3 linked regions of the Saccharomyces cerevisiae S288C genome follow. The gene in region 2 interacts genetically with the main gene of each other region. Each region holds a gene or a part of one and is shown on either strand. Other genes may lie near its edges.

Evidence for each region.
Region 1: of CRF1 (region 2) and IFH1, extra expression of one rescues a mutant of the other (dosage rescue), as found in Saccharomyces cerevisiae (2 studies listed by BioGRID).
Region 3: mutations in CRF1 (region 2) and CDC50 impair growth when combined (synthetic growth defect), as found in Saccharomyces cerevisiae (one study listed by BioGRID).

What each region holds. Positions count from the first base shown.
Region 1 is NC_001144.5:583,887-587,645, reverse strand, and holds the start of IFH1 (Ifh1p), read left to right. Parts: upstream 1-2,155; coding exon 2,156-3,759. Other genes in the region: UCC1 (Ucc1p), read right to left, coding at 73-1,182. UniProt on the Saccharomyces cerevisiae protein: Transcriptional coactivator that together with FHL1 regulates the expression of rRNA and ribosomal protein genes. Its activity is negatively regulated by environmental stress.
Region 2 is NC_001136.10:910,218-913,976, forward strand, and holds CRF1 (Crf1p), read left to right. Parts: upstream 1-1,881; coding exon 1,882-3,285; downstream 3,286-3,759. Other genes in the region: YDR222W (uncharacterized protein), read left to right, coding at 1-1,084. UniProt on the Saccharomyces cerevisiae protein: Transcription factor, corepressor with FHL1 of ribosomal protein genes. May be involved in the blocking of the spread of silencing.
Region 3 is NC_001135.5:284,762-288,520, forward strand, and holds CDC50 (aminophospholipid translocase regulatory protein CDC50), read left to right. Parts: upstream 1-2,000; coding exon 2,001-3,176; downstream 3,177-3,759. Other genes in the region: CCR4-NOT core subunit CDC39, read left to right, coding at 1-1,682; OCA4 (Oca4p), read right to left, coding at 3,409-3,759.

The sequences.
Region 1 (3,759 bases), on a different chromosome or scaffold from region 2:
ATCCATTTATAAGTAGGTAGGTGCATAGACGTATATACACATATATTATAGACTAATTGATAAATTTTTTTTTCATCTTCGAAGATAAGGGGTATTCCAGTTGGGCAATGCTATTTCTTGACCAAGATCTTGCTTTTGTTCCGGATGCTTGTAGACGAAAATTCTTATCAATTTGGATGGCTTGTAAGGTAAACCGTGCCCAATTATCGTGTCTCTAGGAAATGAAATTTTCTCTTCAGATTGTAAGCAGGCCAAACTCCATGCAAACTGGTATGAAAAAGAACATTCACTATAGTTGAAGATTGCTTCAATGCTATTTACGGGTTCGATTCTAAAGAGTAACCACGGCTTCGATATCTGATATGGAATAAAGTCATAACCGAGTAGAACTAAATCACCATTGATACAAACATCTGAATCTGTCCTGTCGATAGCTTTCAGTTCCAGGGGAAGATGTGTCGTTCCAGTGCCTTCAAAAATTTGCTCATCGTATAGCCTGGGAAGGTGGCCTAGGTTAACACAGTATATTCCTTCAGATGTTATCAATTCGTTGATATATCCTGCACTTGCCACGATCTGCTTCGGCCCATAGTTGCATATGCCTATTTCCGTAATAATTTTCGGTATGTATCTGGCAACGTGCGCATTTTTTACATAAAACCAAACGTTTACCGGTGTAGGCTCGTCCTTCCTCCTGGACCAAAAGTTAACAGGTAAAGCTGTCAACGACTGCATAAGAGTTCTTTCCTTGGGCCGACTATTAAAGTTACTGGTAGAATCAGAACCATTTGAATCTTGACTTTTGGTATATTTGTCCCATCCCATATTAATTATCTTTCCAGGATATTGCAGCGCATTGTATACAATATACCAAGAATCTGCGATGTATTTAGTCATGCACAGTGGCACATTAAAACCTGGTTCCTTCGTTTCTTGAATGATTTCTCTGGCATGCTGTCGAAGTGGGTCCAAACTCTTGACATATAAACATAATGAATGTTTGACAACGGCCCATATATAGTTGTCCTCAGCTATCCACGCCAAACTCTTCTCCTTATAGCTGTGGTTATGCAAAACGTAGAAGTATTTATTGACAGCACGAAGTTCATTAGGCACGTACTCTAGTAATGATAAATGTATCTCCAGTGGTAAATCCATCAAGCTGCTATCGCTCTGATTCATCTCTTGTTTGCACACTCTGTCTTCTTTGCGCCAATAGGCATAGTACAAACAAAAAAACGAGCCAAGCAAACAGCGGAAACTCTATTAAAGGTTATGCTACCTTCCGATAGTGATAATATTATGAGAAACTCCAATGTAGATCTACTTGTCTGAGATGGCCTTTGATAAAAAAATCAATCGAGTACGCAATAGAGGGGCAGAGACTTTGAAGAGCAAAAAAAAGAAAAAGGAAATTTTCAGTTATTGTTCCGATTTTTCCGTGTGGGGTTCGGGATGCCTAGTTGTTCCGTAATGCGATTGAAAGATACACTTAACTAGGAGGCTGCTAGTACGCGACCCCTACCTACGTATTGCAAAGATGTTTGAAGTATCAACGGGTGTAGAACTTTGCAATCAAGCAAAAGCTAGATAGTTCCATTATGAATTGTGACGATGTTACCCGTACTGCCTACTACATCTCTTTATACGGATTGAAATCTCTAAAGGTTGCCCTGCCCGTCGTTTCTTTTTCGTTGGAATTCTTTTTTTTTTTTTTTTTTTTTTCATCTCATCACTAAATTGATTTAAAGTACAACTAGGGAAAAGAGACTAGATAATAGGTGCTTTACACGTTTTGACGTTTAGCTTTTACGGCTCTTTAATTGACTTGCTGTAAGTATTTGTATAATCATTGGTAATATTTGAATACATTCGAAACACTTGCTACAAGAAATTAAAAGGAGGAACTCTTCAAAAGGCTATATTTAATTACTGCTTATTTATTACATTCCTCCCTTTCCACAATTCTAACATAGGACAAACCTATAATATTTTTTTTAACTTCGGTGAGCATCATAAGCAATAACCATTTCAAACATAGTAATATTCATTCTACGAAATTCATTTTCAAGCTTGTTGAAATTGAAGGAAATTCAACAAGGAAGCAAATAAACAAATAAGGAAAAAACAACCGGCAAACTGGAAACAGAACGAAATGGCAGGCAAAAAAAGTCCTCGAAAAAGTACGATCAATCATAGTACACATTCTGGTAAACTGCCAGCAAATATTAAAAGGCTCATAAAAAAGGGCGAATCCGATACAAAGTCCAGGCAATCACCACCCACACTGAGTACAACGAGGCCAAGAAGATTTAGCCTTATATACTCTTCTGAGTCATCCTTGAGTGACGTATCTGATTCTGATAAAAACAAAAGTACAAACCCACATAAAATTAAAAGAAAAGCAAAGAACATTTCAAATAATTCCCAAGGAAAAAAAAGTAAACTTATACAAAGGCAAATAGACAATGACGACGAGGGCACAGAGTCATCCGATTACCAAGCTGTAACAGATGGCGAAGAGAGTGAAAATGAAGAAGAAGAGAGTGAAGAAGAAGAAGAAGATGATGACGAAGACGACGACGACGATGATGATGACGGAAGTGATAGTGATAGTGATAGCGAAACAAGTTCTGATGACGAGAATATAGATTTTGTCAAACTGACGGCCCAAAGAAAGAAAAGAGCCATGAAAGCTTTATCTGCCATGAATACAAATAGCAATACACTCTATTCCTCTCGTGAGAACAGTAACAAAAATAAATCAGTTAAACTATCCCCTAAGAAAGAAAATGAAGAAGAGCAGAAAGAAGAAAAAGAAAAAGAGAAAGAAGAGCAACAAAAACAACAAGAATCAAACAAAAAAGAAGTAAACGGTTCAGGCACTACTACTACACAACAGGCGCTATCGTTTAAATTCAAAAAAGAGGACGACGGCATTAGTTTTGGTAATGGTAATGAAGGCTATAACGAGGATATAGGTGAAGAAGTCTTGGATTTAAAAAACAAAGAGAACAATGGTAATGAAGAAGATAAACTGGATTCTAAGGTGATGTTAGGTAACAACGATGAGTTACGATTTCCCAATATTTCAGAGTCAGATGAATCTGAATATGATATTGACCAGGATGCGTACTTTGACGTGATTAACAATGAAGATTCTCATGGAGAAATTGGTACAGATCTTGAAACGGGGGAAGACGATCTTCCCATATTGGAAGAAGAAGAACAAAACATTGTTTCTGAGCTACAAAATGACGACGAACTCTCATTCGATGGTAGTATACACGAAGAAGGGTCTGATCCTGTAGAAGATGCTGAAAATAAATTTTTGCAAAATGAATACAATCAAGAAAACGGATATGATGAAGAAGATGACGAAGAAGATGAAATAATGTCTGATTTTGATATGCCGTTTTATGAAGATCCTAAATTTGCAAATCTTTATTATTATGGCGATGGTTCAGAGCCAAAGCTATCCTTGAGTACATCTTTACCGTTAATGCTAAATGATGAAAAACTATCTAAACTAAAAAAGAAAGAGGCCAAAAAACGGGAACAGGAAGAAAGGAAACAAAGACGAAAGCTCTATAAAAAGACGCAAAAACCTAGTACGAGAACAACCTCCAATGTGGACAATGATGAGTATATTTTCAATGTTTTTTTTCAATCAGATGATGAAAATAGTGGCCATAAGAGCAAGAAAGGCAGGCATAAATCGGGCAAAAGTCATATTGAACATAAGAATAAAGGCTCGAA
Region 2 (3,759 bases):
TAACAAGACAGATGGTGGTAGAGGTTTATTCAGAGTGATGAAAAAATCGATGGAGACCAGAGTCGAGACCCAAACGTTATATTTCACAGATTTGCATACAGGCTTGTGTGGATTTGTTCAATTACTGTATTCTACGGTTATGGGTGGTATCTATAAAGGCTTCCAATTGAATTTCAAGGTTTTTGGCTCAGAAAGTAATAATACTGACTACGACGTTTGGGAAAGTTTTAAATTGGATGACATAGCTGAATTTCAACCATTAAAGTTTGTCTCTAGAAATGTTATTTTTGAATTTTTGAGCAACAAAAATGAAAAATTAGGTTCCATTGGCCAGTTATCTATCAAATGTGATTTACCAACATGTAACAATACAATTCAAAATTTGAAAATCGATTTGTTGGTGGATTTGTTTCAAGGTTTTAAGATGAACCCCAACGGTTGCAATTATTATTTTGACAAACAAATCTCGATGAGTGACGAATTCGTTTCCTCAGACAAAATGATCAGACATGTTTTTGTGCCCAGAGGTAAATGTAATGGTAATATTTCCTACGATAAAAAACTCAATAGTGGGGACTTTCAAAATAAAAATATTTCATTAACTGATGTTCCTGTCGTTTATCTGGACGCTGTTCAAGGTCTTTTGCCGAATAAAGCAGCCAGTAAATGGAATTTCCTATGTTTTCAGAGCGAAAACTACTCTGTTTTAGCAATTGAATTCACTACTCCTCGAGATCATGATAACGTCACCGTAACAGTTTGGTCAATTACTGAAAAAAACAAACTGATATCTATTGGTTCTTCTGTGCAGAGCCCAAAACGTCATGTTAGGTTCCGTGCTACGAGTACAGATAAGGAAAGCGGCTGGGTATATCCAACCTCTATCAAGTTCCCCGGTGGATTTTCAGAACACGACTTGAGGCTGGTTAATCGATACGACGTTCTCGGTGAGTTACCAAGCATGGTCAGGTCGTTAGCTCAGAAAATTGTGAGCATCAAACCTTTCATTTATCAATACTGTCAACCTTCTAAATATAAGCACGAGAAAGGTATTTCTATCGTTGAGAGCACCTTCATTAGTTGAACAAAAGCGTGAACACTTCCACATGAAATTCGTTTTTTGTCCTTTTTTTTCTCTTCTTTTTCTCTCCTGTTTCTTCTACCAACTTTACCTAATAATTAATGTGTAATCGAATTTTTTTACATAATCACTACCTAATAACTAATTTATCATCACTTTTTTTTTTCATTTTGAGGCCACACTTTCCCCCATGGACTATTGCATCATTGCGCCATGCTTCTTACTTGCGTAAGCCATAGAACGGAAATATCATGTTCCCCTTGCCGCATGCATATTGAAAACATCACGGGAACGAGAAGAATGGCATTTTCGAAATAAAAAGAAATCATATTTCAAATGTTGGGGAGAGAAAGCAAAGGGGAATCAATAATCATTAAGGGAAGTCGATGAAAGTTTCCTTTTCCGAACTCTACCTCGCCTTATATAAAACCTTGGTCTAAACGGATAAACCGAGATGTAGTTGAGTTTGTGAATCCAGTTCTTGTCCTTCTTCCTCTTTCAAAAAGTGAAGCAATCAGTTGAGAGTGTAGCTATAGAGGTGTGTACTCTAGAAATCAGACTTTCATAGCAAGCAGACTTTTTTTTTGTTGAATCTTACTAGCGGATTTTTTAGAGTTTTCTTCTTCGGACTAATCTGTCAATGGTTCCAGTAAGATTAATGAGTCAAAAGCCCTCTATAATTGTATCGAGAAATTTCTTAAAAGAAGGAATATAATTATTGCGGTCACTAGAAAGTTATAAGAAGGTTACCATTTAACTGAACAGCAGCGGTATAGTACGGAATAAAAAAGTCTTTTAAAATGTTGCTTAGTGCGCCTGTTAACAGTACCGTGCGGCGCAAGCCACACAGTCCAAATAAAAAAAAGCCAAAAGAGACAGGTACAGCTGCTTCCTTTTCGTCGTCCTCTTCAACTGTCGTCCTTTCATCCAATAATGATGGCAGCTTTGATGCTCTTTGGGACCCCTCTATAAGTAAGGCCTCGGATTTTGAGAGTAGCTATATTAGTGCTAAACGATTAAAACCAGAAAGTAGTAATAGACAGAAAAAAAAAAATTCTTATAAATATTCTAGGGAGGAAAACACCAACGAGGTAGAGGAAAAGACGTCTCTTGGCAGCAGCTCTAAGACAGAAGCAGATAATATATTTAATGACCAGCTCACGTCAGCTGGCAATACTACATATGTCAGTAATAAGCGCGATGTAAACTTCGGGGCGAATTCGGCTGTAGTACTGCTCGGTTTGCCAACAAGTAAAAGTGAATCTCACCGACAATACCACAGTCCTTCGGCTTCAACAACTAATGAAGATGAAGAGGACATTGGTGTTGATATTTTAGTAGACAACCACATCGATAGTTGCGAAACAGTATCGATAAATAATAATAGAGGTATTACACACCAATATCCAGAAACGGAATCAGATGTCGACTTTGATGAGGCCGTGATATTGACACCAATGGATGGTACGGATAAGGGAGTGAAAAATCCAAGACCACTCGAAAAAAAATATAGTAGCAGTTGTTTTGAGGACCGTACGCCCCTTAACTTGGATGATGGTCATTTCAGTGAATGCAATCATTTTTCTACATTAGATGTGTCTAGCTTTTTTCATCTCAACGAGCATGTGCATAAAATCGACGAAGTAGAGCTCGATGGACCTGATCGCACCTTTAGTCTAGACAACGTCGCTATTAATACAAGGAAAAAGGATATTGATTGCCTCTATAATAGTTCAAGAGAAGACTTATCCAACCTCACATGTTCTTCGGAAGGCCCAAGGAATGATAGTTATGATAGTGATTACAACATTGATGAGGTCACTTATAGAGATGATGAATCAACAGATGAAGACGAGAGCTTACCAACCCCAGATCGAAAAAGGAAGAAAATTGGCCATAAAGCTTGCGAAATATTGGATTCTAAAAGAATTGGAATAAAAGTACCAAAGTTATACGTTTGGTCTTTAAGTGATAAACCGTTTAGTGTTATCGATGGGTTGTGCACAAAATCGCTGTACCCATTGAGTGATGACATAAATACTCCTGAAAGTTTGAGCTCATGCTCAAGCTCAGTAAGTTCACGGGAAAATCAAAAAGGAGATGCAACATTTGATAATGATGCTATGATAGCCGACCTTCTAAACATAGGCGGACTCGAAGTAGAGAAGGCATCCAATGGCCATATTGAGCTCATAGGCGAGTGATTATTTGATATTCCAGAAGAATCATTATCGTCTTTTAAAGGAAAATATGATCGTTTGCGAAAAAATAGAAGCACTTTACTACTTGAATTGTCATAGAATAGTAGGAAAACCTACTTAGTCAGCGAAGATCAACTTGGAATATCGTATGATGAGATGGAGAAAAATTTAGGGGCCGAAATGGATGGATCCACTTGAGAGAGGATCAAGGAATACTGAAGTGCAGCTGACGATCCAGTCAGCGACATCTGTCTTTTTTTAATTACTATTGCTGTGTACTTATAGAGTCGGTGGCATTTATTTTATTTTTAGTATTTTTTTATACGTGCGTATTCTATTGTTCATTTTTTTACCAATTTTTTTTTTATTTTTATATTTTGTTTCTTGCGTGGAGTTTTTACAGGAAGTTAATCACAACAGAGGGTTCAATCTCCAAGGCATAAAATAAACAAAAATTGTAATAGTTAGCAACTGCAA
Region 3 (3,759 bases), on a different chromosome or scaffold from region 2:
TCAAAGAGTTCGAAGATACTAAGATAATGCCAGTGAGGAAAGGTACCAAAACCACAAGAACAGAAAAGCTTTACTTAGTATTTACGGAATGGGTAAAATTACTTCAAAGAGTTGAGAATAACGACGTAATCACAACTGTTTTTATCAAGCAATTAGTCGAAAAGGGTGTTATCAGCGATACTGATAATTTACTTACATTTGTCAAAAGTTCTCTTGAGCTATCAGTTTCTTCATTCAAAGAAAGTGACCCGACTGATGAGGTTTTCATCGCTATTGATGCTCTAGGATCGCTAATTATAAAATTGTTGATTTTACAGGGTTTCAAAGATGATACAAGAAGAGATTACATAAATGCAATATTTTCTGTGATCGTTTTAGTGTTTGCTAAGGATCATAGCCAAGAGGGTACCACATTCAATGAACGACCATATTTCAGACTATTTTCTAACATCTTATACGAATGGGCTACCATCAGGACGCACAATTTTGTTAGAATATCTGATTCCAGCACTAGGCAGGAGCTGATCGAATTTGATTCTGTATTTTACAACACTTTCTCAGGATATTTGCACGCTCTGCAACCATTTGCCTTCCCTGGATTCTCATTTGCATGGGTGACACTATTATCACACAGAATGTTATTACCAATTATGCTAAGATTACCCAATAAAATAGGTTGGGAAAAGTTAATGCTTTTGATTATCGATTTGTTTAAATTTTTGGACCAATACACAAGTAAACATGCAGTCTCTGACGCTGTTTCGGTTGTTTATAAGGGAACACTGCGTGTTATTTTAGGCATTTCGAATGATATGCCATCCTTTTTGATTGAAAATCACTATGAATTAATGAACAATCTACCTCCAACATATTTCCAACTAAAGAATGTTATTTTATCTGCTATTCCTAAGAATATGACCGTTCCCAACCCATATGACGTGGATCTTAATATGGAGGATATTCCAGCATGTAAAGAACTACCTGAAGTCTTCTTTGATCCTGTAATTGATTTACACTCATTGAAAAAGCCAGTTGACAACTACCTACGTATTCCCTCAAATTCATTATTAAGAACAATACTAAGCGCTATTTACAAGGATACCTATGACATAAAAAAGGGCGTAGGCTACGACTTTTTATCTGTTGATAGTAAATTAATTCGCGCTATTGTATTACATGTGGGCATTGAAGCTGGAATAGAGTATAAGAGAACTTCTTCAAATGCGGTATTTAATACGAAGTCTTCTTATTATACTTTATTGTTCAATCTGATTCAAAATGGTAGCATCGAAATGAAATATCAAATTATTCTGTCTATTGTGGAACAATTGCGGTATCCAAACATCCACACCTATTGGTTCAGCTTTGTGTTAATGAATATGTTCAAAAGTGACGAATGGAATGATCAAAAACTTGAAGTCCAAGAAATTATTTTAAGAAACTTTTTAAAAAGAATTATTGTTAACAAACCACATACCTGGGGTGTTTCAGTTTTCTTTACTCAGTTGATAAACAATAACGATATTAATCTTTTAGACCTGCCCTTTGTACAAAGTGTTCCCGAAATTAAACTAATTTTACAACAATTAGTAAAATATTCCAAAAAATACACAACCAGTGAACAAGATGACCAATCCGCCACCATCAATAGAAGGCAAACCCCTCTACAATCCAACGCATAAAAAAACTGCATTTATTTATATACGAAAATCATGATTTCAGAAAAAAAAATATAACTTGTATAATACTATATTTCAGAGAATACTATTTTGAATAAGAATAGAAGCAATTTCGATTAACTTTTCTTACTGTATATGGGTCGCTTTCACTTTTGAACTACTGAAAATTAGTGTTACCCGTATTATTGTTTTGGAGAATAATAATAATAATGAGCATCAATTTATATCAAACAAGAGCTGCAATTACCTTATGTCCATGACGCACTGCGAACAAAGAATAATTGAGTAATCGAACTTGAAGTTCTATAGAACAGCTTGTATATGGTTTCATTGTTCAAAAGAGGTAAGGCTCCACCGCTCACGAAAGAAGGCCCCACTTCTAAAAAGCCTCCTAACACAGCGTTTAGACAACAAAGGCTTAAGGCATGGCAACCAATACTGTCTCCTCAAAGTGTGCTTCCGTTGTTAATATTCGTTGCATGTATATTTACTCCTATTGGTATTGGACTCATTGTAAGCGCTACTAAGGTACAAGATCTAACAATTGATTATAGTCATTGTGATACAAAAGCATCTACAACTGCTTTTGAAGATATACCAAAGAAGTACATTAAATATCACTTTAAAAGTAAAGTTGAAAATAAACCACAATGGAGGCTAACCGAAAATGAAAATGGCGAACAATCATGCGAACTGCAGTTCGAAATCCCAAACGATATCAAGAAATCCATTTTTATATATTATAAAATAACCAATTTTTATCAAAATCATCGCAGATATGTCCAATCGTTTGACACAAAGCAAATATTAGGGGAGCCTATCAAAAAAGATGATCTGGATACAAGCTGTAGTCCAATAAGAAGTAGGGAAGACAAAATAATATATCCCTGTGGGTTGATCGCTAATTCCATGTTTAATGATACATTTTCTCAGGTGTTGAGTGGTATAGATGACACAGAAGACTATAATTTAACTAACAAGCATATATCATGGAGTATTGATCGTCACAGATTTAAAACCACCAAGTATAATGCTAGCGATATTGTTCCACCGCCAAACTGGATGAAGAAGTATCCCGATGGGTATACAGATGAAAATCTTCCTGATATCCATACTTGGGAAGAGTTCCAGGTATGGATGAGGACTGCAGCCTTTCCCAAGTTTTACAAGTTGACGTTGAAAAATGAATCTGCTTCTTTACCGAAGGGTAAATATCAAATGAACATTGAGTTGAATTATCCGATTTCACTCTTTGGTGGCACAAAATCATTTGTACTGACTACAAATGGAGCTATTGGTGGTAGAAATATGTCACTAGGCGTACTGTACCTCATCGTTGCAGGGCTTTGCGCCTTATTTGGCATCATTTTTTTGGTTAAATTAATCTTCCAACCAAGAGCGATGGGTGATCACACTTATTTGAATTTTGATGATGAAGAAAACGAGGATTATGAGGATGTACACGCAGAGAATACAACATTGAGGGAAATTTTATAGAGGCCAAAAAACAAACTTTAGTGCCTGTAGGTATTTGTGTTTATAAGTAAACAAGTTTTGTTGACTTCCTGAAACGTAAACAAAAGAAAAATTGAAGTATGCCTTTTTACGCTTGGAAAATAGTGCGACAAAGAACTCCCAGGGTTTGCTATTCCCATTTAGATGATGAAATGATAGAAAAGTGGAAAACGTTTATCATGAAATCATCTATACATATACGTAAAAATGTAAACTATGTAAAAATATGTTCCCTATAAAAGTGATGCTCTTCCGGAACGTTTTCTTTTTCCCACAAATCTCGTTGAAACCTGAACCAATCTGGTAATTCAGAATCACAGGGTATCCTTATTTTGACGTTATCTTTTCCCCTTGCTTTATAATAGCCATAATCTCCATTTTCTTTTTTATTAAATGCTAATCTATACCTATGGCCAAAAATTCCTAGGTCAGAAGAGGTTTTCTTCAAATCGTCTCCTAGAACTCCACTTACTTGTAATACTTTATTATTTTTCACTTTGGTTTCGATTTGATTTATTAATGTCAAAAGCCGCTGAGGCACTTCTGGCTCTCTGCAAAGGTCATC